Linked DNA regions of Oreochromis niloticus. The protein of the gene in region 1 interacts with the protein of each later gene in a pairwise test. Links are inferred from orthologs where the notes say so. Each region holds a gene or a part of one and is shown on either strand. Other genes may lie near its edges.

What was found.
Region 2: the proteins of golga2 (region 1) and stk25b interact in binary tests that used the Homo sapiens proteins (3 or more experiments, as listed by UniProt). The link is inferred for Oreochromis niloticus from reciprocal best matches to the Homo sapiens genes GOLGA2 and STK25.
Region 3: the proteins of golga2 (region 1) and spata2 interact in binary tests that used the Homo sapiens proteins (3 or more experiments, as listed by UniProt). The two-hybrid records come from large-scale screens. The link is inferred for Oreochromis niloticus from reciprocal best matches to the Homo sapiens genes GOLGA2 and SPATA2.
Region 4: the proteins of golga2 (region 1) and bysl interact in binary tests that used the Homo sapiens proteins (3 or more experiments, as listed by UniProt). The two-hybrid records come from large-scale screens. The link is inferred for Oreochromis niloticus from reciprocal best matches to the Homo sapiens genes GOLGA2 and BYSL.

What each region holds. Positions count from the first base shown.
Region 1 is NC_031972.2:20,385,521-20,393,215, forward strand, and holds the start of golga2 (golgin subfamily A member 2), read left to right. Parts: upstream 1-4,680; 5' UTR 4,681-4,763; coding exon 4,764-4,811; intron 4,812-6,006; coding exon 6,007-6,141; intron 6,142-7,695. Other genes in the region: endoplasmic reticulum chaperone BiP, read right to left, coding at 1-103, 202-592, 696-808, 899-1,036, 1,139-1,370, 1,456-1,574. UniProt on the Homo sapiens protein: Peripheral membrane component of the cis-Golgi stack that acts as a membrane skeleton that maintains the structure of the Golgi apparatus, and as a vesicle thether that facilitates vesicle fusion to the Golgi membrane.
Region 2 is NC_031982.2:10,567,721-10,575,271, forward strand, and holds the start of stk25b (serine/threonine-protein kinase 25), read left to right. Parts: upstream 1-4,549; 5' UTR 4,550-4,927; coding exon 4,928-4,957; intron 4,958-5,667; coding exon 5,668-5,898; intron 5,899-5,996; coding exon 5,997-6,053; intron 6,054-6,169; coding exon 6,170-6,278; intron 6,279-7,551. Other genes in the region: mitochondrial fission factor homolog A, read right to left, coding at 2,075-2,253, 2,436-2,652. UniProt on the Homo sapiens protein: Oxidant stress-activated serine/threonine kinase that may play a role in the response to environmental stress.
Region 3 is NC_031984.2:16,329,013-16,336,355, reverse strand, and holds the start of spata2 (spermatogenesis-associated protein 2), read left to right. Parts: upstream 1-4,326; 5' UTR 4,327-4,590; intron 4,591-4,718; exon of another isoform or gene 4,719-5,024; intron 5,025-5,555; 5' UTR 5,556-6,028; coding exon 6,029-6,379; intron 6,380-7,343. Other genes in the region: E3 ubiquitin-protein ligase RNF114, read right to left, coding at 1,006-1,071, 1,175-1,282, 1,407-1,521, 2,814-2,920, 3,137-3,287, 3,892-4,028.
Region 4 is NC_031970.2:21,836,241-21,844,127, reverse strand, and holds the start of bysl (bystin), read left to right. Parts: upstream 1-4,883; 5' UTR 4,884-5,030; coding exon 5,031-5,295; intron 5,296-6,459; coding exon 6,460-6,610; intron 6,611-7,887. Other genes in the region: med20 (mediator of RNA polymerase II transcription subunit 20), read right to left, coding at 2,322-2,543, 2,642-2,895, 4,289-4,434, 4,645-4,658. UniProt on the Homo sapiens protein: Required for processing of 20S pre-rRNA precursor and biogenesis of 40S ribosomal subunits. May be required for trophinin-dependent regulation of cell adhesion during implantation of human embryos.

The DNA.
Region 1 (7,695 bases):
GGGTGGAGCCTCCAACCAGGACAATCTCATCAATGTCAGACTTCTTCAAGTCAGAATCTTCCAGCACCTTCTGTACAGGCTTCATGGTGGAACGGAACAGGTCCTGGGTTTTGAAGAACACACAGGTTAAAAAACCTTGGTCAACCATTTCTCCAATTGGGTTTAATACGCAATATTTTCAGAACCAAATTAATATCTTACCATGTTCAGTTCCTCAAACTTGGCACGAGTCAGGGTCTCAGAGAAGTCCTCTCCCTCAAAGAAAGACTCGATCTCAATGCGGGCTTGGTGCTGGGCAGACAGCGCCCTCTTGGCCTTCTCGACCTCACGACGCAGCTTCTGCACAGCACGGTTGTCTTTGCGCACATCTTTGCCAGTCTTCTTCTTGTACAGCTTGATGAAGTGCTCCATGACACGCTGGTCAAAGTCCTCACCTCCCAGATGAGTGTCACCGTTGGTGGCCACCACTTCGAACACACCGTTGTCAATGGTCAGAAGAGAGACATCAAAGGTGCCACCGCCCAGATCGAACACAAGAATGTTCTTCTCTCCGTCCTTCTTGTCCAGGCCATAAGCAATAGCAGCAGCAGTTCTAAAGAATACAATGAGAGTTTATTGTTAGAAGGGAGGGCAGAGATATTTTTTTGACAGTTTCAAATTGCAGATGATCAAATTCATTTTGACTGGATGCTTACGGCTCATTGATGATTCGCATAACATTCAGACCAGCAATGGTACCAGCATCCTTAGTGGCCTGGCGCTGGGCATCATTAAAGTAGGCGGGGACAGTGACCACAGCATGTGTGACCTGAGGAAAAAGGATAAAGTTAGATTTGATGATACACCATTTAATTAAGATTAGCTTTTTCACTGATTTACAATCTCTGACTTTTTGTACCTTCTTGCCCAGGTAAGCCTCAGCAGTCTCCTTCATCTTAGTTAGCACCATAGCAGAGACCTCCTCAGGAGCAAAGGTCTTCATCTGGCCACCACCAATGTCAACCTGGATATGGGGCTTGCTCTTCTTCTCAGTAACCTTCATAGGAATACACACCAATATTAATTTAACAAGAATTTCACTCAAACATGACCCAAAGAATCAACTACTACAAGTTTTACTTTCAGTTTAGAAGCTCACCTTGAAGGGCAGGTACTTGATGTCCTGCTGCACAGAAGGATCACCCCAAGTGCGACCAATGAGCCTCTTGGCATCAAAGATGGTGTTCTCAGGGTTAGAGGTCAGCTGATTCTTGGCAGCATCACCAATCAGACGCTCACCTTCACTGGTGAAGGCCACATAGGAGGGGGTGATTCGGTTTCCCTGGTCATTGGCAATAATCTCCACGCGTCCATTCTTGAACACTCCAACACTGCAAGAAAACAGTTTGAATTTAGTCTGAATGCCATTTTATTCCATGGTGGTATCATGTCACTATAAGAGCTTGACGTGATTACCATGAGTATGTGGTCCCCAGATCAATCCCAACCACAGTCCCCACGTTGTCCTTCTTGTCTTCATCGTCGGCGGCAAACACTGTGCCGACCACCAGCATCACAACCCAGAACAGCTTCATCTTTGTTTGTACTTATATCTACAAGCGGATCTGCAGAAAAGAAATACAATGTAACACATTAGATGGGTTCAGCCTCCCAAGTGCGCTAGCCAGAAACTAACGGTACTGCGTAATGTCACTTGCTGAGCTTGCAGACCCATGGCAGACTAAAAGTTGGTCTTGGCGAATAAATATAACAGGAAAATATGAATTATCGATAAAATAAGTTGGATCACCAGTCAATCACCGTCATGACCACCACCACCCCCCCGCCAATTCGCCGGTATCTTGCTAACTACGCTACCATGCCTAGCAGACATGCAGGGGGAAACCACCATGCTAGAACATTCCAAACTACATCCTGTTTATTATATTTAGGTTACAGAGTCTGTACAGTTCATTCAGACGACAGTAGTGTAGTTACATTTCAGCTGGTTTATTGGTCAATATTGACCTTAACCGGTTTTACCTTAATAAAACATTTTGCAGAAAATGGAAAATACCGCGATGCTTCATTATCATATTCATATTAACGTTTATACATACCTTAACAGAAGTTCAACCAATGAATTAACGGCCTTTGAGTTTCCTCTACCGGTAAAAGACGCTTGGAGCAACCTGTATATCTTTTGTCTCTTTCAAATCCTTACTTGTGTAGAATGATGCTGTACGAAATGTGGTCTCTCCATATATAAGCCGTCACTTCTTTCCCGTCGTGGAGGCTCGCGATTGGCTGAGCTGTTGCTCGTTGGAACACGCTGATTGGTTTCATTCAGCACGCTGGCCGCCGCTGATTTGCACACATCAGGTTGAAGAGACGTCACCGTATGTGTCCACTGCGCCGACGCTGATTGGCTGTCTGTCAAGGGCAATCCTGAACACAGTTGGTGCAGCGACATGCCACTCTCAATGCCGGGGGAGAGGTGGATGCATTTCTCGCATTTCATACATTTACAGATTTTTGCTGCAATAATTTTTTTTTGCAATGGCCCACCAAGTGTTTGATTTGTAATCTTAATTTTGCGGTTTTAAGGCGTGTCATTACGAGGAGATAGTGATGCAATTGTGAGACGTAATGACTAACTGCTATGAGTATGAAAATCCAAATCCTTTGTGTGATTGTGATGAATCTGACAGGAAATCTTGTACCAGGTGAACTGGGTTGTCTGGGTGTTTCCTCAGTGAATGTACAAGTCTTAGCTAAAGACTACAGATACATGTGATCACACTGATTTCAGTTTGGTTGAAATCTTTTGCACACATAAGAAGGTAACATAAACTGGCACATTCAGTTGGGTTTCAGTTCAATCAACAAGACAAATATTTGCTTAAAAAGTCAAGGTAGCTGACTGCCATTGTCAAGATATGATCCTTGGCAAATGTGCCAATATATACCAGCCAAAGTACAAGGCTATGATATGGGTATTTTAAAAACACTAACTAATTGCAAGAATTTTCTAAAATCCAAAATCATTACATGGATAGAATTGAACTGATCTGCTTTCTCCTACTGTGATTTATCTGAATTCTTCTATTAACACTGATATATTTCCAGAAGGTTCCTGAACTAAACCGGTTGTACTGTCAGGAAGAATATAGAAAAGTCATAAAATTATAAAATATCAGTGTAGCAGTTAAGTTTTGTCTATTTCTTTTATTTATTTATTTACATAGTTTCCCATAAAAACCATAAACATTTCTATGTCTAGATTTGGAAACCTCTTACTTAGTGGCCTCCAATTCTGATTACGTTTTATGGGAGAATAACAAGTGAACATCAGATTTCAGTGTTTCATCTTTTTCTTTATTGTCTTAAAGTAATGCAAAGTATTTTATTATTATTTTATTTTGAAGCCCTTTTCAGACTTTGCAGGGATTTCTACAGAAAATTTTATTATTCTATTCAAAGGATACCCTCATTTTAAAGCTAATGCTGATGAATTGAAAAGCATATTGTTACGGAGAAGCCTCCAGTTCCTGTTAGTAGAATTCCTTATATTTTATTCAAGAAAATCTAAAAGATGCGTTTATATTGTTTATAAGGTCCTTCTAATGTTACTGTCAGGCAGTTTACTATTTGTGTCATTTATATCTGCTTTCTTTGTGTTACAAACAAAAGCAAAACTAACCTGTAAACTTGAAAGACAATGATGACTCATTAAGACTAAAACCACACAGGGCAGTGAAACAAACCTGATGGAAAATTCTGGGTTTAATGTGTCATTTTCTTTGTATACAATTGAACTTTTTACTTGGACTTTTAAATCTAGTAAAAAGAGTTGGATATCATAGTTAACACTAGGAGGAGCCATGTTGCTAAATCAAGGAGGAAGTGATCAGTAAGGCCTTCATACAGGTTATTACAATGTAAGGACTACTAGCATTGGTTTCGCCTTGTGTTTGTTGTATGGAAACCCCTTTCTGATATGCTTTCTATTAATATGAATTAATAGATTGACATTTTGTAGAGTTTTTTTTTTCTCATATTTTTTTATAAAATGTTTGAATGTCCCTTAAGGAGCCTGGAGAATTATTCTTGAAGAGTATGACAAGAAGAGGAAGGAAGAGTATGACTTGAAGAGGAATGACAAGAAATCTGCCTCAGAGCGTTCTGACTGTGTGAAAGAATAAAGGTGGTCATTCCAAAGAGACTTCCAAGCTTGTTTGTACAGAATTGTTAGAATTTCCCTTATATACCTTATTTTCTTTTGTGTAAGGGAGGATCAAGATTTTTTCCACAGTACTACACTTCATTACACCTGTGGTAAATTTACATATTACAAAAAGAAAGTGAAAAAAGTCATTTTTTAAAACATAAAATAAGACAGTACTGTACGGTACATTTCTGTGTAATAAATGTAACCTACAAAATAATAGGCTATATTTATCTTAATTATAGAGAAACACAAAGGTAAAGTAGCAACAACTACAGACAATGAAAGCAGCCGACAACCACATAGCAAAGGTGTTAATACATTTTTTCCTAAACTCTGTCGAAAATAATACTTTATATATTTCATATAACAAAAGAAAGAAAACATGGTTCAGGCTAATTTATGTGAGGTTGTAAGCTCACGGCCATAGACGGTATAAAGATGTTTTATGCTATGTCGAGGGCACAGCTTGAGCTCTGCGCCACCTACTGGCTTAGACGCGTATGAGCGCCAAGCTGATGACGTGGTTCGCTCAGTTGACCACCAGAGCAGCAGGATGGCCGACCAGAGTAGGCAAATAAAACTCGCTGCAGCTAAGAAAAAGGTAAAGTATTTTACAAGTAACGCAGTTACATAGCGCGAAAAGTGTAGTTCCCACTTTATGTACACAAGTCTGTGTTAACTCTGTTTTCTTGTCTTTTCGTTATGTATATTTTTTACGGGGCAAGGGTGTTGTCATTACACGTCGCCCGAGTTCTGCACTGTCGCTTGTCCGACCTCCTCCGCTCCTCTCGCGGCTCTGTTGCGTAGGAGAGACCGATGTTTCATCGGGGCCTCTGCTGATAGCATTAACTTTCCCAGATTATGTAGACTATTTTTAGTTAGTAGAGACACGCATACTATCCCACGCTGTTTATGTACTCGCAGATTAACTTGCACCACTTGCTTGGCCGCTTTACTTGACTTTCCAGCTGACATTTAAATGTAGTTAAAGCCTAACGTGCTAACCCAGGCAAGTTAACGTTAGCAAGCTAGCTAACTAGCTGATGAATATATGGCTACGTGTGTGTCTAAGGAATGTCGCACAGCAGCCTGCCAGCTTTTTGTGTTATCTGCAGAATTTAATTTCATAAGAAAATGTCTAACAAACGGTAGTTTTAAAACACAGCACTCATTGAGCTTGTAAGCTACCCCTGTAGCACAGTTAGCTGGATGGACTGACGGGGGGTGTTTTGACAGCTGACACCCCTCTTCCCTGTCCTGCTGTGTGCTTTGGCTTGGTGTCTTTTTCGGCTAGTCAGAAAGATGGCCTTATCAGATTCAAGAAGTGACTCGCCAGCATTTTTTGCTGGCCCACAAGCTTCACGACTGAGTGGTCGTGGTGACATGTCATTTTGCTGCTATTTAGCTTTACTGTTAAAAAAAAAAAAAGCCCCAGCAGTTCCCCTTAGACAGCTGTTAGAGCGTTCTGGTATGCTTTAACCGTCATATGCATATCATACGCAGGTTATCATTGTTTAGCACAACTTACTAACTTCATCCGTTTGAAGCCGGATCTTTCTGCTAGCTGGTGCATTGTTTTGGAATTGGAGCACTGAATTCGAATTTTATTACCTCATTCATTCAGCTTGTTAAGACGCTCGAGATGTTGAGTGTAATTTGTTTGAAATAATATCTATAGTTTGGGACAGTTGCAGAGTCCTGGTACTATATGTGTAAGACGTGACAAATAAATATATATTAGTAGACATTGTTCATGTGCACACGTTTATGGGTTTCTTCTCTCATTTCCTACTCAGCTGAAGGAATTTCAACAGAAGAGCTCCCCTGCTAGTGTAGGAGGAGAAAAAGGAGGAGCAGCCAAGAAGAAGAGAAAGGTGAAGGGATCCAGCCAACTTGATGCACCTTCACCAGACAGAAACTCTCCAGACAATGTAAGCATAACAGTTTGCCTTATTGTTGTTGTTGTTGTTGTCGTCAAATGACATCCTCTTTTTGTGCTTGGTAGATGGTCATTTCATGATTTGTTCTCTCAAGTTGAAGGGTGTTGTATTTGTGTGTTTGGCTGAAGAACATATATGTGTGTGTGTGTGTATACATATATATATATATATATATATATATATGAGATAGATAGATAGAATACTTTTTTTCTTTTTTTTTTTGCCAATTATTATCTACAGCAGAGTAGAAGTATTTACACCTCTTTGGGGCGCTGATGACAGACATGTTTACCTAAGAAGGGCGTTGCACATGAGACAGTGTTTTTTAAGCCCCTGACCACAACTGTGGCTTTTACATATTGCAATATGTAGCATAAGGTAAGAATTTCAAGAACTAATATATAATTTCATGAGATGGTATAAATAACAGTCCAGATGAGTTTATAATAGTAATATAATGTAGTTCGGTTGACTTGAATATACATAGGATTGTCCACTTAGCCCACTACAGCGTCAGCATTGTCTCCTTCATTTTGAAAGAATGCCGTCCTGTATTATATTTCCATGTTGACTAAGACTGTTGTGATGATTCCTTGATGTCATTCAGTGTCTTAGGTTGTGGATATATAGCAGTCCTTGTTCTGTTGCACAAATGAGCAGCATTCCAACTAGAACCTGGAGCAGTCTGTGCATGATGAACTGGCTGACTACTATCACCAGCTGCAGTCCAAGCTGCTGGAGTCGCAGCCAGTTTGACTAGATAGACAGCTGAATATAGTCTGTCATTTGTCTCAAAACACTTACTATTTCCAGTACCTTCAATACCACAATATATATGCTGATGTTTAATAATTTATCCAAAAAAGCACTGGTGTAGCAACTTATGTGCATATCAAAAACTCACTTTCCTCTACCCCTGTCAGTTGCTGCCGCAGAAACACTATAATGAACACGTTATGTCATCTGATTGTTTCAGCACTCAGGTTCATCAGCTTTTTGTTATAGAACGTTTAATAGGAATAATCATAAAATTACATTGATTAAAAAATGATAGGCTTTCAAGTCTCCTCTCCCAAGAATCCCTCTGTGAATATCAGCTAGTTCTCTACTCTATGCTACTGCTTTAAGTTTATCCTGCACTTTAGTAGCACTCTTTATAGCTGATTAATAGTAATTAATTCCTGATCTTCAAAGCAGTGACTCATTAGTCAGATGTTCATCCATCAGTCCATTAATTTCTTCTGTATATTCGAAGTTGAGCTGAGGTGGCAGCTGGGTATTCAAATTTCCTATTTCTCTGTGATTTGTTTCTGATTTTCATTACTCACTTGTTTTTCACCACATTTGTACTTGTTTGAGTAGAAAACATAATAAATGTGCTAACAAGACCATTGCTTTAATATTTGTTCTGGTGATTTTAAAAAAAGTACTGGGACAAATTGTGTGCAGCAAGTAACACAATCACATTCTTTGAGCTCTCTTGACAGTCTAACAAGTTTTGGATTTTTTAAGAAAACATTTTTGGTATTTAATGTCATTTTGATT
Region 2 (7,551 bases), on another chromosome or scaffold:
TTGTGTGTTAAGAACCACAAACCATACTCCACAGAGAGATCAGAATGGGAAGATGTGCAGCATTGCACAAAGAGACTTCTTAAAATTAAAAACATAAATAATCATGTTCAGTTTTCATTGCGTCTCATAAATCCCACAACTCCAGGCAGCTTTTGTAAGAAAGGATCAATATGTTGGGATAAAAAAAGCAACACCTTTAAGACCACCATCAAGGAATATCTGAAATGGTAATCCTAATAAAGTAAAAATAATGCTGTGTATACTAGTTGCTGCTCACTTATTCATAAGGAGTTGCCACAGCAGGTAGGTCTGCGTATCTGATTTATCCTGGTGCCTAAACCCTTGAGACTCTGTTGTCTACTCACAGGTTCAAACGGGGTAATTTATGGTACTGCAATCGTGTCCTTTTTGCATTTAGCATTTCTCTAAAGTTGGGATTTGCGGGACTCTTTGACTAAACAACTAATCCTCACTATTATCACAAATCATTATCAGACGTACTAGTAGTATAATCTAAATTGTTTTAAATTTTGATTGAAGCCAAATGCCGGTAAATTGCTATGCAGCCACCTGCCACCAGAGGGAGCATCATTGTTGAGAAAAGCCGTAAATCTGTTCATCATGGCCTGATCTCTTTGTTTACACTGTTACTGTTCTTTTAAAGGCAAAAGATACAAGCGGTGGAAATGTGCCCTCTCCAAAAGGTCAGTGGGCACTTCCTTAGCAATAGAGTGAGGAGTTCAGTCATTTGGGAGGGGCTCAGAGTAGAGCCACTGCTCCTTCACATCAAAAGGATCCAGCTGAGGATGATGCCTCCTGGGTAAGGTGCTCTGTTGGTCATGTCCTACTGGGAGGAGGCCACTGGGCAGAACCAGGACCTGCTGTACAGACTATATTTAATCACCTGACCTGAGAACAACTGGACGTTTCCCTGGATAAACTGGAGGAGAGAGGGAGGTTTAGGCTTCCCTGCTTCGGCTGCTGGCCTCGCAACCCTACTTCAGATAAGCGGGGGAAAAGAAAATGGCTGGATTATTTGTTGTTTTGTTATTTTAGATTTTAACTTTTACTGAAGTGGTTGTCATGAATTTTTGAACAGCGTGCATCATTCATAATGCTCGACAAAATGCACCACATTTTTCAGTTCAACTCCTTGGTTTTTCTGTTGTTAACTTGTCACATTTAATAATATGTGAACTTGCTTTTGTAGTAACACATTTATATACTATATTTAACATCAGTTTAAGTGTTTTTCCTTCTTCATTGTCTGGTGTGTAACATGCAATGTTGACAATGCACAATGCCCGTACAATTCAGCACCGTTATTCATAAATCAAGAATATGATTTATGATTTAAAATTCTTTTGTTTAGAGAGTTATAGACCTTAAACAGTTCTAAAATATAACTTGATATCTGAGTGTTTCTTAGTTTTATATGAGTCAGTTAGTCTAATTTTTTTCCCTTGTTTATTCAACTGAGAAATTAGTTGCCAGGAACATCCCTACCCTAGAAACAATGTACAAACATGTGTGCAATCTTCCAAAATCCCCACTGCATTACTCAAATGCTGATTGACTGACAAGTGGGCCAGAACAGGCAAGGGAGTGGCAATGGAGTTCACCAGGAATGGGAGGATAGTAAGAGGGGAAAAAAAAAAAAAAAAAAAAAAAAATCACAGATCAAAAGATAGCTCATGAGAAGTACAGACAGTGGGTGCAGTGAATATGTTACATTGTTTAACACTCACTTCAGCTCTTTGTAGATTATAACTTCACTCTACTCTGCAGCTGGCTGACATACCAGTAACAGCACAAGCAAAAGTACCCCACAGACCGGTTGTACCACATACTTTGTACAGTGCCTCTATCGACAACAGACACTCTCTGCAAGTAGACAGGCCAACGGAGTGCCAGCATACTCCCAATGCACTAACACTGCTGAACCATAATTTCAGGATAAGGCAAATGTAGTATACCACCACACTATGGATCCACTTAAAGTTTTGAATATAATGAAAGAAGAAAATTCAATATTCTGAGAAGGAAGTTGAAATTACTCTGAAAGAAACCATACCGCTTGGCTGGGATTGCGCTGTGAGTTGACAGTTTGGTCGGTTTCAAGAGAGTCCAGAGGCTGCTCGGTAAGGGTGAGGACACGTGGAGGGGCCTTCATGTTCAGGAGGTCCGCAGGAGGGATGGACTGAATCAGATCCAAGTCTCTTGGACATGCAAATCGAGGATCCTCGTCATCACCTACAGAAAAAAAGGGGTCATGAAATTTTTATACAGCATATGGGCCCATATGTCATGGTTTCCACTTTCAGCTGTTAACAGTTGTTTCCCTTAATGTACTACTTTTTTTTTCCTCACCAAATACTTGATATACATGATTTAAACATAATACCTGAAACATGACTGCCAACTGTCATCCTCACCTGCAACGACGATCCTCTCAGGAACCTGCATCAGAGCTGTATGAGTGGGCAAGGGCTGCTGAAGTGGCATGGACCCTGTTTGGCTCTCTGGGGCCACTTTGAGGGTCTCTGGGATTCGCATGCGCTGGCTGATGCCCTCTGTATACTCCAGCTCAAAATGGATGCGATTCATCTCAGCCACCTCTACAGAGGGGGTAGTGAAAGTTGCCCCACTCATCCAGCTGATAACCCACAAAATGGGAAACAAATGAAACTCACATACAGATATTAACCAAACAAAGTGAGGGTGTGAGTGTGACTGTCTCTAAGAGTTCAGAAATATAAGCTCAACTTAATGCCCCGTTTTAAATAAGACATTTTTCATATCTTGGCTGATTTTTTATGACATGCCAATTTACAGTAAAACACATGCTGCAGTTAACCCTGAATTTAGCCAATTAGCTCAGTAGCAAATGGTGCTACCTAAACTTTAAACACGATCATTAGCCCGTGCAAAAGGCATCTGCTCCAGTGTAAGGTAGTGAGTTTAGGTTCAAGCTAATGAGTACAGTACAAGAAATAGCATTTCATGTTACATAACAGCGACATGAGGTGAAGCTGTTGCTGGCAAGCCGCTTCAATGTCACTGAGTGAAAATCCACGCAAGACGCCATGTCTAGCTTGTATGTTAGCTATCTAGCTTGTCGCTATGCTTGACAATCGTTTAACAGACGATGCTATCCCTTTTAGCTAATTAAACAGTGCGCTGTAAGCCGCTGACTGTCTGCACTAACATGCTGGTAAACCAGAGGTCTGTCCTGTCAATACTCACCGTTATGGTTTTACCACCAGGGTTTAAACTGACATGCGCCAACACGCTGTTCGTGCTGTCATACAAACAACATCAGGGACTCCACAAACCACCCACCGAGACGGACTCAGCGAAAGCTCTCTACGCTTCTAGCTAGTGTGGGTGTAGCTGTTAATACTACCCCGCGTGACCGCCGGGGCGGTTACTATGAAGTGCACCGCCAGCCGCAAGAGTTGGTGAAACGCAATGGACACTTTAAATTAGCAGATTAACGAGCTTTATTTACGTAAGTTGGTTGTAGTGTATTTTATTTTTATAGTGACAGAAGTTAATTTGTCTGAACTGCAAAAATAAGATGTTTTTCAAATGAAAGTAGCCAACGTCACGGGAAAAAAGAAGGCTGACCACATCCCAACAAAGTGTGGGGGGGTAAAAAAATCTGTTTGTGTGGGGCACACTAGGGCCGATTAAGATGCGGGACATTGCTTCAGTGTCTGGGTTAAAATGCACCAACCGGCCAGTCGTTGCTGGGGTGTTTTGGTAGCTAGATGGTTTACTTCGTGTGCAGGTTTAAAGTCTGATGGAAAGGAAAATTGCATTTTAATGAAGCTGGACCTTTTGTATTGTAGATATCAGCAGTTTGTGGATGACGTCTTTAGGTATAATGTCTATGTATGACAGCTTGTGCACAAAGTTTTGATTAATAAATAAAAGCAAAATAAAATGTAAACACTCAAAAGATGTTTGAATGTCTTGTTAATATGTGTGTTGACATCCTCTTTGTCCACACTATCCACTGTGCTCAAATTTATACTATTATAGCTTCATCACAGAGACAAACACTAAGATTTACTCCCACATAACACTTTGGGTAAATCCAACCACCAGTTGTCTGCATCTGCTTAATTTGATTTGCCTTAATTTGAATTCCCAGTTCCTCTTCTATCAATCATACGGAGAAAACACACACAATCATTTCCACAAAATGTAATTTAAACTTATTTCAGCTTTAAATTGAATTGAACTTGTTCATTTTCTATTTTTGTATGTAATGAATCCTCAGTGGTGTTCTAATGCTGTCTGGCAGCATGTATGGTATTATGTGATGGTAGTGATGTATATATAGTTAGATCTGTTAGAACTGTTTTCAACGAGATCACGTGTTTTTGTCATTTAAAATTGTGAATGTAGTTTTATTTTATTTTATTTTTTCCGTGTACCATTTTCAGTACAGGAAAAACTTGAAAGGTTTGAAGAAACATGTCTCTAAAGCATGTAGAAATACAACTCCCACAATTCAACGAATTAAAAAAAAAACTTCGCGCATGCGTTCTCGATCTGGGCCATTATTTTGTCCTCCTCAAGCTTCAATTGAACAACGGGCTAAGCGCTTCTTGAAATGAATTAATTATTAATTCACGGAAAGAGCTATTTTTCCCCTCTGTTTCGGACCACCGATACTCATGGAGTCTCTCGGTCAGTAGCTCGGCTGCTCAGTCCTCCGTTTTACCCGGAGGCCGAAAACAGTGCGCGGAGTGACAGCCCCGTTAAAGCCAGGAGACTGGGTGTTTATCTAGTTGGCTAGCCAGCCTAGCTAGCTTCCTAGACAGCTACGAGGGGAGGAAAAACCCGAAAGGACAATTTATTGACTATTGGAAGACAGGACTGTGGCCGTCCCTCTCCCGTCCAACCAGCCGAGGGGATGGCACACCTTCGAGACATGCAGAACCAGGTAGAGAAATGATCTTTTCTCCAACTGTCACCTCCCTGCTTCTTATCCAAGACAAGCCGAACCCCCGATGCTTCTCAGGCTTTCCATGAATAACCTGGGTGGTGGGCTAGGCCATAAAAGCAAGTGTTAGTATCCACAGATGTGAATTTATGTATATATAATGTTCTTGCCGGTGGCGCAGTCAGGTGTACAACTGACAAAGCCATCAACAAATGACAAATATGTAATAATAATCTCTGATCTTGTATGAGTGTGTAATAACATTTTATTTTTTCAGAGTTGGGCTTTTAGAGTTGAGTCTTAATTACTAAGATACTCAATATTTTTTAAACTTAGTGACTTCTTTGAAGGCGTCTTTGTTCGCAAATCATTGCTCATTTCCTGCTGTTATGGAAAGACAAAACCACTGAACTTTCAGGAGTCACACTTCTTAAATTACATCCTGGCACAAAGCTCGATCTAGAGTCTAGGTAATTATAAAGGGATGTGACTGAATAGATGGGCACTGGCATAGATAAGAAGGTTAATTATAAATCATATTTTATATTTGGGCAGTGCATGCAAACACTATAATATGGAGATAAGGGACAACTGTGAACATCTCTTCTGTGTTGAGACTCGCCCACTCATAAACACACACATTAAACTACGGGGGGCTATCACCGTGGTATATACTCTGTACTTAAATCCTTTTGCTCTCACTGGGCCAGAATACTCGGTTGGACCCTGAGGAGTACTTCACCAAGCAGGAGCGGATCGGCAAGGGTTCGTTTGGAGAGGTCTACAAAGGCATCAACAACCGCACAAAGGAGGTGGTGGCCATTAAAATTATAGACCTGGAGGAGGCAGAGGATGAGATAGAAGACATTCAGCAGGAGATCACGGTGCTGAGCCAGTGCGACAGTCCTTACGTTACAAAGTATTATGGCTCATATCTGAAGGTGAGATAATGTAAATACTGAAGTGACACTTGCAGAGATGATTAAAGATGCAAACACATGCAGTGGTTTGTTCCTTCAATTGTTTCCTCCTGCCATAGGGAACAAAGCTGTGGATTATCATGGAGTATTTAGGTGGAGGATCTGCTCTGGATCTAGTAAGTAGATTTCTATTTTTATGCAGCTTACAAAGTTTTAGACAACTCCTCCAATAGTGCACTTTTCATACTCGAGAAGGAAAACTCATCCTTTTGTCGCACTGTCACCATCCTAGCTGCGTCCAGGGCCTCTTGAAGAAACTTACATTGCTACTATACTGAGGGAAATACTAAAGGGGCTGGAGTATCTGCACTCTGAAAGGAAGATTCACAGAGATATCAAAGGTAATGAGCACTCACTTCAATCTTTACGGTGTTCGGTCCTTTTAAATCAAACTGGTTCATTTTATCCCTTGGTGAAGTTTGTTTGTGCAGATGTGAACCGAGTTATTGCACTCGGGCACAGACCAAAACAGCCGCACATAGACCCTTTGGAAGAGGTTGTCTTGGTGCAGTTCTAAATGAACTCAAGAATAGTTTATTTATGATGTGAATATGTTCCTGGTAGTCGACCCAAACAAACTACCAGGTTACAAGTTTGAGATTTTAAAAAAAAACTTCCTGTAGGTACGTATGCTGTGTAGTCAGGGATGCAGCAAAGTACTAGAGTTGTGCAAAGGTCTGTATGGGCTAGCAGCTATCCGTGAAATGAAAGTAAATTTTACGTATTCTCCAATAGTCTAGAACACAGCACCTTCTTTCTATATTTACACATCTGTCCAGTGAGCGGACTGAACATCCTGATGTGTTTTGTTTTTTTTTCTCTTTGTGAAAAGATACCAAATCATAGGGAAGAACTCCAAGTTTACAAACTCACCAACTATACCAGAGAAAACAAACTATAGGTGTGAACAAACCCAAAGAGTCTCATAGCTGTCAGCTAACACAGTTGTCAAGCTCTACGCTGGTACAAACTCGGGTATAATTCAAAGCTGGTTTATAGCGTACGCTCTTGTGAGTACAAGACTCAATGCTGTGATCCAACGTTTTATGTCAACAACTGAACGCTGTGATAAGAGAGCTGCTGCACAGCCAGCCTTAACCAGATGCTGCAGAGAAGAAGTGCACACACTGAAATATGCCAACAAGCTGTGTACATTTTTAACACCATCTGTGAGCTCGAAATCTCACAACATGCTGCGTGTGCGAATTGTATACACTTTTACATATTCCTGTGTGTGGAGCTTTTTCTGCTCTCTTCTTTCCTTGTTATGAAAGAATGTAACACTTTGTAATTAAGTAATCGCACAAATAAGGAGTTTAAAACTTGGGTGTATTACTTGGTGGGGTGGATTTATTCTCCGTATTATTTGTGTTCTTGTGCTGATTTTCTCCTTTTATCTACAGTTCCTTGTGAAATTGAATGCAGCACTCCAGTCTCCAAAATCTAAAATTAATTATTAATTCATTTTAGATTTCAAAATTGAGAGTTGGCCTGAATAAGCTGTAACAACATTGTTACTCATTATCTCAGATGTTCTGGCCTCATCTTATTTTTAGCACGTTATATTAACCAGACTGCTGTAACAGATACAAAAAGCAGACCCAGATACTTTAG
Region 3 (7,343 bases), on another chromosome or scaffold:
ACTGCCCTCTTGTGGTTTAGACACATGCAAATAAATTCTCACATGAAAGTGACCAAATTAACCCAAACACACTGACTTTTTTTTTTTTTTTTTTTTTTAAAATACTTGCATCTGTAGATTCACTGAATGAACTACTGTATTAGCCCTATGAGTTCTGGAAGTTTGAAAACAAGATCTACCAGCAGGCACAAAGACATAAGGGAGAAACATCACAAAAAAGCAAAAATGCCATCTCTGGCTGTGTTTGACCCTCATTGTTTATTCTTACCAGTAGATCTGTCAAAACAGAATGAACACACCCAGCCACACTCTAATACACAAACACACGCGCTTCAATCAAAAACAGCACTGAAAAGACAGTTTTTTTCCCCCATCTGCTGAAAAACTGTGGTCAAAAAAGAAAAAAAAAAAAAAAAGAAAAGAAATAAAAGTCCCTTTACCTTTTAACCTTTTGCATAAACATGCGAGTAGAATTAGTATAATATGTTTCTGTTACTTGTAGACTTCACAGAGTGAAGTTTGTTGTCTGCTGGCAATAGGTAGCCACCTAGTGGTTAGACCCTCTCATAACATCAAGTATTGACAATGCAGAATTTTTAAATCACAGGTTCGGATGTTTTGTTGCTAGATGACACTTTGTCATTGATAAACAAACAGCTTAAACATAGTTTAGCAGATACCTAACAAACTATCCAGTCTACAGACTCAGCTGGGGGGAGGGGAAGATAAGTGATTATCACACCAGAAACACAGTATTACTCCTAAATCAAACAGTACAATATGTTTTTTTTTTTGTAACCATATTGCGTGATTTATTTTCAGAATAATAAACCTATATATTCATAGTTACGATACCAGTTCCCTATGAAAAATAATTACCCATAGTAAGTCAGTACCACCATCCCCATTCTAGATGAATGATGACACTGTGTGTTTCTGTCTTTTCAAGACCATCATCCCTTCATTTCACTGGATTCCCTCCACCGGTGAATTGTTTTTCACACTTCAGTGGTCCATAAGGGAGCGCTGTAAAGCCTCCTGAATCATTGTGTGCTCATCTGTGGAATAATCCTGGGAGGTCGTAAGCATGAGAAGTGGAAGAAAAAAAAAGTCACTTAAATTCTTATTAACATAAAAAACAAACAAACAAATAAACAGAGAGTGCTTTACTTACAACAAATGTATCATAGGAGAAAGTGTGTCTGATCTTCAGGTGCTGGAAAAAGTCAGCACTCCTGTAATTAGGATCCCCCCAAGGCATCGAGGCACAGATGGGGCACACCTAAAGAAAACATGAAGGTAATAAAACGATCTTTGAAACACATTATTAACCCAGCTGAAGCCAGTAAGTGTGTGGAAACTCAGTATGACTCAGAATTATGACAGAGTAGACTTTTTTTTTTTACCACTTGGCGTGCATCTCGAGCATGTTGGGAAGTGCAATGTTCAACCAGGCCGTCCTGGTCGAGGTTCTGGCAGTTACAGTAGGGGCAGGTGAAGGTGTAGCGATTTGGCACTGAACTGTGGCAGAAGAGAAACAATAAAATGTCACAAGGTTTGGTTCTCAACTACATGAATATTGCACTTGAAGTGCAACAGGCATCAGCTTATGAAGAAATAATTTACCACAGTTAGTGGCCAATCTTTATCTTTTGTCACATCAACTTTTCACCAGCTGAAAGAGCTTGAGAAAGGCTTAAAAGTGACAGTTATTCTTTTTTCTTTTTTATAACAGGAATCCGTTTCCTGGCACAAACATCTGGAGGGTTAAATAACAAAATAAATAAATACCAGGATCGGTTTCTTACTTTAAACAGTGTTGGCCCAACATGCCACAATGTGTGGATTCTTTGTTTTAAAGGCTGCTGTTTGGGTGGAAAAAAACAAAACAAAAACCCCCCACTAAAGACTACTTCCTGATTAGTCATAATAACCTCATTACAAGCGACGGCTTCTCAAACCATCTTCTCGGAACTTTCTCCAGGAAGTACAGCTGTCATAAATACTTAACATCCAAATATGATAAAAACCAGATCCACTTCATACAACTTGACAATAACAGTGTTTTATGTTTTCTAAAGATAAAAGTTGTACTGTTTTCTATACACTCTGGAAAAATCATGATTGGAAATTACAACAGGTAAAATACAGAATACTTAGCATAAGCTTGATCACACTTTATAATACTATTTTACTTGCAATCAGATTGTGTTTAATTTGAAATCCTATTTGTGCTAAAACTTCCATTTACTTTTTTTAACTTTAAGTGTAAAATGTATACACTACATATAGTTCACATGACAGATTGACCGCAAAAACAGAGCATTTCATTTTTGACTGACATGTTAGGCATGTCAGTGAAACAAGGCAGTAATGGAGCCACGACTTTGGAGTCTTATCAAACAACAATGTACTGCCAAGAGTTTATAATACTATAAACAGGGAATTTTATATCACAAGAAGATATTATTCCATCATTTGTCACAACAGGTCAACTGTTTAAATTTGGCACTTAAGTTACAGTGAAATCTATCATAAATCTATCATTGCATACATTTGATTGGGCCAACAGAACTCCATTTCCTATGTACAGTACTCTCTGCTCTGTGAATGAAGCCCTCTCACTGACTCTACTGACAGGGCTGCACTCATTTCCTTTTTCACTTTGGATTGGTGTTAGTCCAAAGGTGACCTTTAATTTATACAACCCAACAAGCAGCAGTGATTGCACGCAAAGTCTGACTCTACAGTGTAAACCATTTTGCTTTTCTTATGTAGGGAATAGCAAATAATTGTTCTGCTTCTTTCCCCACCTGACGATGGCAGGCTGGCTCTGGGCAGTTGTCCTGACTCCCTCCTCAATGTACTCCTGGTATTTTGAACAGGCAGCTGTGTGGCTTCTCATCTTAGAAAGCCCAACCTAATTGGGGGAGGAGTGACACATATCAGTAACTTCCAGTATATGACCATCATCATAAAATTGTTGCTATTATCTAAATATAAAGACAGAAATTTAGACACAGCAAAATATTAAGATTATGCATGTGCAGTTATTGAATATTCACCCTCTGTGACTGCTTCATAAATGTGAGTCAGTTCAGCAATATTTTAGCTTTTGGACTTTAGTGAAACATACCTGTGTGCCACATCCCTTACAGGCTGCCACAGAAGATTGAATGAGTGCCTCGAGTTGAGCAGCTCTAGTCCAGTGGCCTGGAGCGCCTCGACATACAGCACACACAGGTTTCTGTGGACGCAGACATTCCTGCAAACAACTGTGGCAAAACCTGTCAAGAGATGGGTGAAATAATGTGACTGCTGCACAAGATAAATCAACTAAATTGTCACTTTTAATTTGGGCTCTGGTAACCTGAGGCTTTAAAAAAAAAATTATTAAAAAACAAGACAAAAACATGCAGCAACTCTGTTTACATTAACGCATGGCCTGCAATGAGAAAAAAACCCCAAATGCTGTCACTAAAACAAACCTTTATTATGCTAGTGACTGGACCTTCCTGTAACTCATATGGAAAGTCCCCCACCTCGAGAATAGCCAGGGACTTGTAGTTCTTTAAAGTGGTTTGAAGAGTTAGAGCAATACACATCCAAACTACAACTCCCAAGTGAGGCCTCCTTTTTGATGTAAACAAAACTGAAACTGATTTAGCAAGCTGGAACTGTTTTTGTCACATATTCGAGAGAGAAAAATAGAAAAAACGGGGTCGTAGCACTAGAAGACACTCGCGAGGCCGATATTTTGCAACTCTGGTGCGACGACATATTTAAAGTGAAGCCCTTTCCTCCATTGTTTTTGCCTCTTTTCACTGCATCGTTGGTGGCAGACGAGGGTTAGGGGGAGGGCGATGGAAAATAAACGGCAAAAATACTCACGTATGTCCACACTGTGTTGTCACGGGACTGTCGAATATTTCGAGGCAAACTGGACAGACGAATTCGGACACGTCGTTGCTCCCGTCCGAGGCGTTCTTCTTGTGAGGTGCTGCGCTAAAGCCTCCGAGCATCGCCATTTCTTTTCTTCACTGAGTCGGTTCCACCACCAGCACCAACCGTCCCCGTGACGACGTCATCGGGTTCTTGTTCTTTTTTAAGCGCGAGGGGGCGGGGTCACCGGCGAAAGTAAACATCGTAACACATAATTGTACGACATACTTACTAAATCTGTGACACCCCCCCCTCCCACTAGATATCGAAACCCCCCAGAGACATTCAAAATATTACAATATATAGTTATTCAAATAAATCTGAATTATTCGGGCACTAATACAACGAAAAAGCAGGAAATCCACACCACTAAATGTATACCTTCGGCAAATCATTATGAACCCGGGAAATCTGTCTCTGCGCGCACGCGAGCCTATATGTATATATATATTTTTTTACCCATGCAAAACAAAAACAAAAATGAATGAAGACTGGGGATGATGTATTTGGGGGTCTGTATCCCGTCTTCCCTAGCACGTGGGCTCCTGATGCTGATGAACTGTCAGGATTGAGCGCATGCGTGTTGTTATACTGGGAATTTCCAACAGCTGAGGAGGCGTAGCTAGCCATGACTAGCACTTGTTAAAGGTAAGATTTGCGAATGCTGTTATTTTTGTTTGAACAAACGTCTTGATCTCCTAGTGGGAGCCCATTAACATTTGATCCCAAAAGAACATCACCTTAAAAATTCGCTGTGTCTTGTTATTTTATTTTAAACTGGCGAATAATGTCTGTGTAGCGATGGAACGCCCTGCTAACCAAAAGCAATTGTTAGCTAGCCAGCTACGCTGAAATGGGCGTTCACTGTTTAGCTTCTACTCAGTAGGGAGGCCATAGCAGTGGCAGCATCGGGTTTGAGAGTCATGAAGAATTAATGTATACGTTCTAGGAGTATTACTTTATATTGCCATTGGTCACGGTGGACTAAATTTGTTGTAGTAGATACGCAGTTGTAAAGCATGCGTCTGGCTAAGGCTCATTGGTTGCTAGCTCGTTGAGCGGATGTTCGCAGAGATTTTCAGGTAACAGGTATAGCCAGCCAGCCAGCTTGCAAGAATCTGAGAGCGAAATGTTTGCTCTCCTGTTGTTCAAGCCTCGTACTATTTTCACGATGTGTTTATGAGTTTTGAGTTGAAGCTAAGCTAGGCTAGGTTAGCGCCACTCTGGTTTACACGCATGTAGTACCAATAGCTGAAACGTTCACTGGCGCAAACGTGTGAGAGGGATGTATACATCAGTAATGAGTTCCTCTCTTGCTTATTTAAGCTATAATTCCACTGGCCTTTTTCTTGGTTATGTACATTGTAAAACAAACAATTTTTTAAAAAAAAAAGCCCTTTCACTATGTGATAGACAAAAAACCCACCCACCCAAACGAATCCATCTTCACATCTCTGAGTACAGAGATGGTCCTGGATTAGTGTATCTTCCCTCTTATCTGAACCTCTAGATATTTCAAAACATGCTTAACCACAGTTAAATTGCATTTTCATTTAGCTAGAAACCGAAAATGATATTTTTTATCTTAACAGCTATTGCTTGTGTCATTTCAGCTTGGACATGGCTGATAACAACCCCAAGATCATGAATCTGTCTTCTTGATGAGTGACCTTGAACTCTACCAATGCTAAAACCAAGCAATGGAATAGATGCAAGTCTGTGTGCCAAGGAAAACCTCCCCCCTGACGTTATCTTGCATGACAGAGGCCTGTTTTTCTGGAAACAAGTCAGGCTTTGAGCCAAAGCCAGAGATGCTCATACCAAGGCATCCTTATGGGCTACAGCCTTGCTACACCAACTGAAAGCACTAGAAAACTGCATCTCTTGCTTAGAGGATGTGCTACTGAGTGGATGCAAAGATTGACTCCTCTGTCATCTCTCCACGACATTAACATTTAGTGTATACGGTTTAAAGAATGGTAACCAAAAATGGTGTCTGAATGTGGCATTTTGTGGTTGGGCATGCTAAAAGGTGTGAGGCTCTCTCAGAAAATTATAACAGCTGACTAATAGTCTGCTGCTAATAATGGATGCCAAGTTAAAAGAGGACCTGTTCCGGAGGTATGTGACAGCACTGGAGAAGCGCCTGGAGGAAGGAGGGGATAACAGGGGGACTGGAAGTACGCAAGAAGGGGAAAGAAGCAGACACAAGGACAGTGAGGCCCTACTTTCCACAGCCACAGCTCTGCTAGGAGCCTATCAGCCAGATCCGGCACAGCGATTTCGCATGGTGCGTTTCTATGAGGTAGTGGAGAACTCCCTCCGCTCCCAGAGAGGAGTCAACCTGAAGGGCCTCGAGAGAGCCTTCCATACCCTGGAAACCATCTGCACCAACCTCCTGCTCTTCCCTTGGAAGAAGGAATTCAGATGTATAAAGGTGAGTTTATTTCATTGATGGGATATTTAATATATTTTGCTTAGATTAGTTTACTCTAATAGCCAAAATTTCACTATTAATACATTTGTTATATCAGAATTAATCATTATTGTCCAGTCCTGAGCTTTGAGATACTGAGCTTTGGCAATTGATCAGGGCAGTGTGTGTGTACACCGAAATACTTTTGTGAATTTGCATATCTTTCAGACTGTCTTTTGCAGGCAATATATATGAATATCTTTCCTGACCTTTAGTGTGGAAGCAAGACTTTTACGTTTGTGTACACATTCTCAGTCTTTATGCAGATATCAGATATCTGCATAATCTTAAGAGATTATTTTAACTTAATTACTTGTTGTCTAATCTTAATACCATAAAGTGGGTATACAAACAAAAGTTTGATCTCCCCTGTCTCATAAACTGCTTGACATGTTTTTTAGTAAATTAATATCTAAAAGTAAGAAAATTTTTCTGAAACTATTAAAATTTGTATAGACTTGTAATTTTAGTGAACACGCGTGCAAAGAGGACCTTGTTATTATGGTTGCTTCTGCTCAGTTCTGCTTGGTGAATAAGTGAGAAATTAAAAGGAAAGCTGTAACTCTTGACACTTCAGTGTTCCACTGCCTCTGTTTTGCTTTGGGGATTTATGTTGCTGGCATTCTTTGGCTCTCCTTGTCTTCTTAGAGGGAAAGCACCGCAAATCAATACGAAGTTGTTTGGTGTGAAACATTTCTAACCTAATAGGAGAGGGAAATGTCCTTGCACACAGAGCCGAAACCGTTATGAATTATCTTATGGCGTTCACCCTCACAAGATATCAAGTTAACTGAATGTCTATGGGAAATTTCTGTACATGTTAGACAGCCTTCTGCCATCATTATCAACCCCCCAAAAGAGGACCAAAAATAGTTGTCCCCACTTCTGGTTTTCTAAAACACTTTTTTTTTTTTTCGCTTGACTC
Region 4 (7,887 bases), on another chromosome or scaffold:
CACGCTCCAAGTTAACCGCCTCAACTCCTGCATGTGATATTCACAAATGTTAGAATTTCTCCACTGTGTCTGTCCGTGTTTTAAAAAGGATGCCTTCTGGCTCAGACAGGCTGGCTCTTAACGCCATGCTAGGCTATCCCACCATCACCATGCTGAAGCCAGAACAAAGAGCAGCCAGAGAGCGACTCTCCAGGAACATCCAACAACTTTGTTGGTCCGAGACAGCCCAGCAGGCAGCAACTTAGCTGCCGCCGCTAACCGTTTTTATCCACGGCTGCTGTGCGTAGGGTTTGCACCGCTTGCCCCCCCACCTCCTCCCTCCCTTCCCTCTGCTGTGTCTCGCCTAATAACGCGCTGAGTTAAACACGGATTTATTCGCTTGGCTCCAAGCAGCTAACAATTTGCGTTATCTGCTCGCCACAGTTGCTAACGTTAGCTAAGCTGCTAACCTGTTTGTTGAGGACAATCGAAGTTAACCTAACGGCTGCCGTCGGTCGCTAACGTTAACGCTAGCAAACTGCGCCGTTAACCGTTAAAAAAAAAAAAAAACTACCCGGTGACATTCACCGCAGGAAGCCGGCTCCTGAAACGCGGCTCTCGGCCCTATCCGTGCCCCTCACTATATTTGCAACACCTGATAATGGTAAAGCTGGGTAACGTTACCATCGCCAGCATCCATCCATCCGGTGTACACTCAGAGAGCTGCTTGTTGTCCTCCTCACAGATTGAACAACCCAACTCTCGATCCGAGCACAGACCCCGCCGCTCTCATTGGACTGGGGCTGAGCGGGAGACGGGCTCTCATTGGCGGAAGGGCTGAACAACAGGCAGCAGGATGGACCGTCCGTCCGTCCACCCACAGCGGCCACATGGAACAATAACGGAGGCCAGAGTGGAAGCCGGGTTTAAGAGGACAGCCGCTACCCCTGATCCCCGGTGTCCCCGTTAAACCCCGTGCGCGCCATGTGTCAGCTCGGTAGGGTTAATCTGGTAAAATACACCTGAGGCGCGCGCGTGTAGTGTGCGTGTGTGTAGCTTTAAGCGCCCTATGAGACGCATCTCCTTTGGATGCTGTCGTGGGGAGGGACTACTTTCAAAATGCGTCAGCGCAAATCAGTGTAATTCAAGTTTAAACATAAAAAGAAAGCCGCTGCCTGGAAGAAATGTGCAGCATTCAGGGAGAGTTTGAAAGCTGAATAACATATCACAAGTCCTAAAAGAGAAGTCATGTCAGTTTTATCAGCTTTAATTACAGTTGTGGTTACGCTGGATATCCAGGATTTTTTCACATGAGATTAGGAGACGCATGGATAAAAATAACCATATTAACAATAGTAATTATCGTGATTTAGTAGGACACTTGAATTATATATTTTTTTTTAAATACAATTACCAATTACTGGTAATTTAATAGGACATTGTTCTGCATTTTTTACTTTTTTTTCCTGCTCTAACATAAGAGTCCACTCGATGCCAAGCATAAGTGAGATCTTCAGATTATTGTAGATAATGTAGTATGTAGTATCTATAAACAGAATTAAATTCTCAGGTTTTAGAAGCTAGATCCAGTCTTTTGGACATTTTAAACAATCCAACATAAACAATCTAACTTACTGTCACCCTAAGATACCTGCACAGATACTTCTTTGTAATCTAATAAAGCATTTCCACTGTAAAATCATTACACGTGTAAGGACAAGCCTCACTTGTTAGCCTCCACCTAATACTGGAACACTAATCCAACTGCATAAACCTTGGGATTGGACTGACTGTGAAATTCCTGGGCCTGTAGTCAACGTTTAGTTCATTCATTCCTGTCTTTCTGACAGAGAAAAACAAAGAAAACTTGATTGTTTGAAAAGAAAAATCTCTCACCTCCTTGTGACATCATCTTTAAACGTTAAGCCAGCGCAAAACTTAGATGATGCAACAGATAAAAATCGACCTCTCTCACCGATAAACGTCATCAGATCAGTTGACAGTCAACAGGGCCAGCGTTCAGCTGATAAATTGGTTCATCCCTGTGTAAACTAGCAAGAAATCAATGAATACTTCGTGTCTCTACTCTCAGATAAAAGTGCACCATCAAAAGGGCATCGCAGTATGAACGCTCAGAGACTCTGACTACTTGTTTTCACTGTGTCTCTTTATTGCAAATGCTTTCATCCAACGCTAACGTGAAGTTCTGCAATGATAATAAAACCCCAGACGTTCAAAAAAATAAAAAATGCCTGGGTACTAACGCTGATCCATAGGACCAGGAATATACCAACATCTGTACAAACATGGAGAGAAAAAAAACAGATATCTTTGTTGCAAACTCAGCGCACATTGCTTCCAGGGATTTGCAGCTTGCGCAGTTTGTTGAACAACTCCAGGTACTGAGTCATGGTGTCAACACAGTCTGCTGGTGCAAAGAGTCCCTCGGGCTTGGCAGCAAACACAGATGGCAGTTCAGGGACGCTGGGGCCGAGAAAGGACTGCATAAACTCCTTCATGAGGTTCCAGCAGTCCCCAGGAACGACACAAGGGCAGTACTCCACCTGAGGAAGCAAGCCAGGAGTTAGCGCCTCACGGAGAGAAAGCAGAAGGACGTGACTCGTCTTTATCACAGCATATATATATATATACACACACGCACCTCTACTGATATCCCTCTGGCACTGGAGCTCATCGTCACGGTACCAACTTTTATCAAGAAGTCGCAGTAGCGATACCTCGAACCACGAGACTCCACCTTGTGTCCCTTGGCATTCTGGAAGTGACTTTTCAGCTTCACCATGAGGACATCAAAATTTGCATCCGCTATTAGGCAGGGTCCACCTTCAAACAGAGCCAAGCAGCTCAGGGGGGTTTCGGAGTTGTGCATCACATACAGGAGCTTGGAGGGCTGACCTACAACGGACAGACAACACTTAAAACTGTCAGGTGAGATGAGGAAGGAAATGAAAGTTCCACAAAGTTAGAGAGGCAAGGCTGAGATTTGCACCTGAGGTTTTGACGTGTACAGTGAGGGATAGTAGATATATTGGGCAAAGGATGTTAAAGACAGAGGAGCTGCCAGGCAGGAGGAAAAGAGGAAGACCTCAGAAGAGATTTATGCATGTAGTGATGGAGGACATGTAGATGGTTGGTGTGACAGAAGAAGCTGCAAGGGTGAGATAGAGGCAGATGATCTGTGGTGACATCTAAAGGAAACAGCTAAAAGAGGAAGGAAAAAGACTTCTGGCCATATAGATATATAACTATTACTTATACTGATGATAATTGTTATTCTCCCACAGATAAATTCAAAAACTGTGGCGGAAAAGTAGCCAAAGACGCACAGGAGGAATCAGCGGTACTGAAGAGGACAGTAACCGTATGTCGATGGAACTCGTAGTAACATTTCTAAGGAGGTGCACATCAGAAGCATAAATTCCCAATAAAAGTGACTGCCTTACTGTTTTGGCCTAACTACAGCCAATCAAACTGGAAATTGAACCAGTACACCAGTACTTATATAGCTCGTTTTAATGTAGCTGAGTACTCAAAGCACTTCCTACTACAAGTCTCACACTCACATTCATACAGTGTTTTTGTCTATGCCTAAGTGTTTTCTAACACACAAACACACACACCCACAGATGGATGCATCAGGGGCAACTTAGGGTTCGGCATCTTGCCCATGGATACTTCAGGATGCAGACTGGAGGAGATGGGGATCTATGACGCTCTCTACCAGCTGAGCCACAGCTCGCGTGACAAAAAAAGTGACATTTCTGGGGGGGGGTTATATGTTATATGTTATCCTGCCTTTATTGTGCCTATATTATAGTCAATCTAGTCCTTACTATCTATCTAGTGCTTATCTAGTCCTTTATAGAATTTTGATGTTATATTTGTCACAATTTCTCTTGCCCTCTTTGCCAGATCTCTCTAGACTTTTTTTTTTTTATGTCAGTGACACTTTTAGCTGGATAAATAAGGGAAATATGAAAATCACTTTGCAAAAAAACAAGTTCTGCTTTGTGATAGAAATGTTCTTTCTGACTCAAAATGACTCAGTATCGTTCATGAGAGATCTGTTTGAGAGATTATAGGCCAATAAGTCATTTAAAACAGTTCAAATACCGGCAATCTTTTTTTCTTTGCAAACAATCACACGAAAAGGGGATAAAATACTCTGCAGCCCCACCTAGACAGGGACATCAGGTCAACCTGATGGGTGAGTGCAATACGTCTGCATTAATGTGATCTATAAATCTGAATTCTAAAGCTCAGAAACAAACAGATAAAAAAATATTACTGCTGGAATTTCCCGTGGCATGGTAAGTCTCGCAGTCCACGCAGAAGCTGCCTTGCTTCACGGCGCCCAGCTGCTCCAGCTTTTTGTGCAGCATGTCCACAGTCTGCTGCACGCTCTTCCCCTCCGCCACGGGCACCTGGCACACACTGAGGGGCACAGCAAGCAGAGGACTTGAGGGACCAGCATACACTTTGTTCCGTGTAACGTTACCAGCATTGCTGAATGAGACAGAGCCACGCCTCCGCGGATCAATGAGAAAAAAACACGCAGGGTGGTTGAGGCTGGGCCAAATCTGTTTGAATATTTAGTGGTTAAAAAACGTTTAAAATCAAACGTAGGTTTAAAAACCACCTTACCAAGTAACACCCATTGATGTTTTGCCTCTCTTCACTTGTAGTACGGTGTTTGAGCACTTCCGGGTTAAACAAAACGCCTTCCGGTACAGTAAAAGAAAACAACAGAAAAAATAAAAATAAAATAAAATATTATTTATAATAAAGAATGGTGAATATTAACACCATTTCACAATGAAACAGTCAACTGACTTTGCTGTACTTTTTTTCTGAAGTGGTCGCCGAAAGCTGGATGTTACGTGAGTGCGATGCGTCACTTCCTTCTTGCCGGACCTGCGCACGTGTTGAAGCAGTGACTGTTTACAGTGTTTGGTAAAGTCTGTCCTGTAGCTCGCACATGTCCACGGAAACATCCACACTGTGGTCACAGCTGAAGTAAAACCGCAGCGATGCCGAAAGTCAAACGGTCCAAAGGTGGAGGAGAGAAGAGCGGAGCCGCGCCGGTGGCGCTGGCCGACCAGATCCTGCAGGCGGACATTGTCCGAGCTAAAGGCCGGGTTAAGATCAGAGACACCCGGGAAGAAAGCGACGACAAGTACGTGGACGAGCGGTTGTCACGGAAAATCTTACAACAAGCCCGCATTCAACAAGAGGAACTTCAGACCGAATATGGGCTGGCACCAGAGAAGAAGAAAGCACCAGTCACTGTTCTCGGTAATGTTGGATTGGTGTTGTAGTTATCCTTAAATTGGCAGATATTTGAATGGAGTCTGGCGAGTGAAGTGCTAACACCATGGGGAGATCAAAAGTCAGTTGGCTTTGACACACATCGCATTTGTTCAATGTTTTCTGACTAGATTAGGTAGCTGTAATCAACGTAGTTTGATGTTTTCTACTTACGCTTTTGGTCATCAAAAGGAGACAAATCAATTAAAAAGTTTTCTTCTTTTGTTTATATACCTATATTTGTCCTTAACTTTCATAATCAACAACATTCCACAGCACAGATCTTTTCATGAGAAAAAACTAATACTAGCTCTGACTTGCAGCCTTGTTACTATACATATAAAATACACTCTCACAAGCACACTTTAAAACATAAAATATCATTAAATAGCATTTCTCTGGTCCTGGATATTTATTTGTAGCAGGTATGTCATAATCTATAAATAAAAGTAATATATCCATTCAGCCCTTATATCATGTGCAACCCTGTTACACTACTAATTTTTTTTTAGCCCTGATCATATCATTTTTAATAAAATTGTCATAAATGTTTTTATTAGCTCACAAGGGTTTGATCTGTTAATCTGCTGCCTTTGTAACTGCTTTAATTATTACATGAATAGTGTTATTTGAGCACAGATATAAATATGAATACTGAAATTACCAAAAAAAAGTACATATTGAAAATTTGGTAGGTTTTGAAAGTTGCTTAAATGAATAAAAATTGAGTGTTATCTGTTATCAAGTGTGAAAGATGCTCAAGAATTTATTAAACAATATTTTTTAATCTACTTTTTCGGGTTCTGAAGTATTGGCTGCAGAGATGCGTACAGAAACTAAAATATCATAAAAAGTTTATCTTTAATCCCTGATCTGGACATATTTAATATTTATTTTTTTCTTAAACACATATTATATTATAAAATAATAAGATATTTTTAAAGCCTGAATTGTCCTCCTATTGTTAAATGACCCAGGAGTTTTTCACACAAATACATAGTAGTGCAACACATGTTGAATCCATGTTACAGTGTAAAATCTTTCCTTGTGATTGTCTTTATCAAGAAACCTTACTTAACTAAAATATTTATACCTAAAACATTTCAGTGTGATCTTCTAATGAGCCATCTCCGTCTTGTAATCTTATTTTAGGGCCTGACTCTCAGGATGCTGACTCGGATGAAGAATGGCCGGCGCTGGGAGCAGCAGATCCTGCAGATGTTGAGTACGACACAGAAATCGTTGTTGACGCTGAAGATGAGAAGGCCATCGAGATGTTCATGAACAAAAACCCACCAGTGAGGTGAGCTACACCGTCGCTTTAACTTCAGGCGCTGCGAGCTCAGCAAATCCTTGGCTTTGTGTTTGTATTAATGCTGTGCAATAGTGGAAAGTTTGGTATCGGGTAGGGGTGGGCGGTATAAACGGTATACGGTAGAAACGATATGAATTTGGCCAACGGTAGAGATTTTGACTATACCGCTCTGCAGCGATAGCGCATGTTGATGGTTTCATCAAGCTGCGCCTGTTTTGGTCGAAAGCATCGCAGCGGCTGCAAGCAATGTCATCTGCAAATTGGGCGACAGTAATAGCGAAGAAATGAAGCACGTTTTGGAATATGAGGAAAGGCAAAAACTGCCCTTCCTCCACTTCCGTACCATTGATTCATTAATGTTGAATTCTCTCGCAGTTGCTCTATACCCATGTTGTTGCAGTATACTAATAACTAACCTCGTATTGTGGATGGATTATCTCAGTTGTTGTCCTGACTGAAGTTTGGTCCATTTACAGCATCCTGCCATGCATTTGTCCCTAACCGTCAGACCCTCACGTTAACTTTTATCGAGTGGAAAAAAGTTGGCGTTCATCCTCCAGCTTCACTGTTTATGTTATGCTAACATAGCTGTGTTGCTAGCGATCATGTAGCACATCATTATGCTTCAGTAACCCTACAAAAGTCACTGCTGTTTAGTTTTCTGTCTTCGCTTATGTTGGAAGTGATAGCAGAGCTGTACGTTTGAATTTTTTCAGAAACCTCTCTGTCAGAACATGCTATATCATGTTTAGGTGGAAACTAGCGAGCTTCCTTCCTTCCTAACTCCTAACTCTGCTCGGTTTTCATGGATGCCTGGATGTTAAACTTAATTGTTACACCTGGTAAAGAAGCAACGCTGATCATTTTATTAAAGATGAAAGAATTTAGACAGTTTTTAATGCTCAGTGATGTCGCAGCGTTCATTTGGCTTTGGGACCTGAAGCAGACGGAGTTTTGGACCCAGATTACTCCGCCAGGCTCCTGACTGCGGCAGCTGTAATGCTCCGAAAATCCATCAAGCGGTGCGGCTTCGTAGCTTACCAAAATCGTACTAAAACATTTTTGACAGATTTTTGAGCGCCGTGTTCCACATAAAATAGGTTTGAGGTCAGTAAGCACAACCAGAATTCATACATAAGACACACCGGATTATAAGGCGCACTGTCGATTTTTGAGAAAATTAAAGGATTTTAAGTTCGCCTTTATAGTGCGAAAATACGGAAGAAAAGAATATATCGCGATATATATTGTTATATATGGATTTT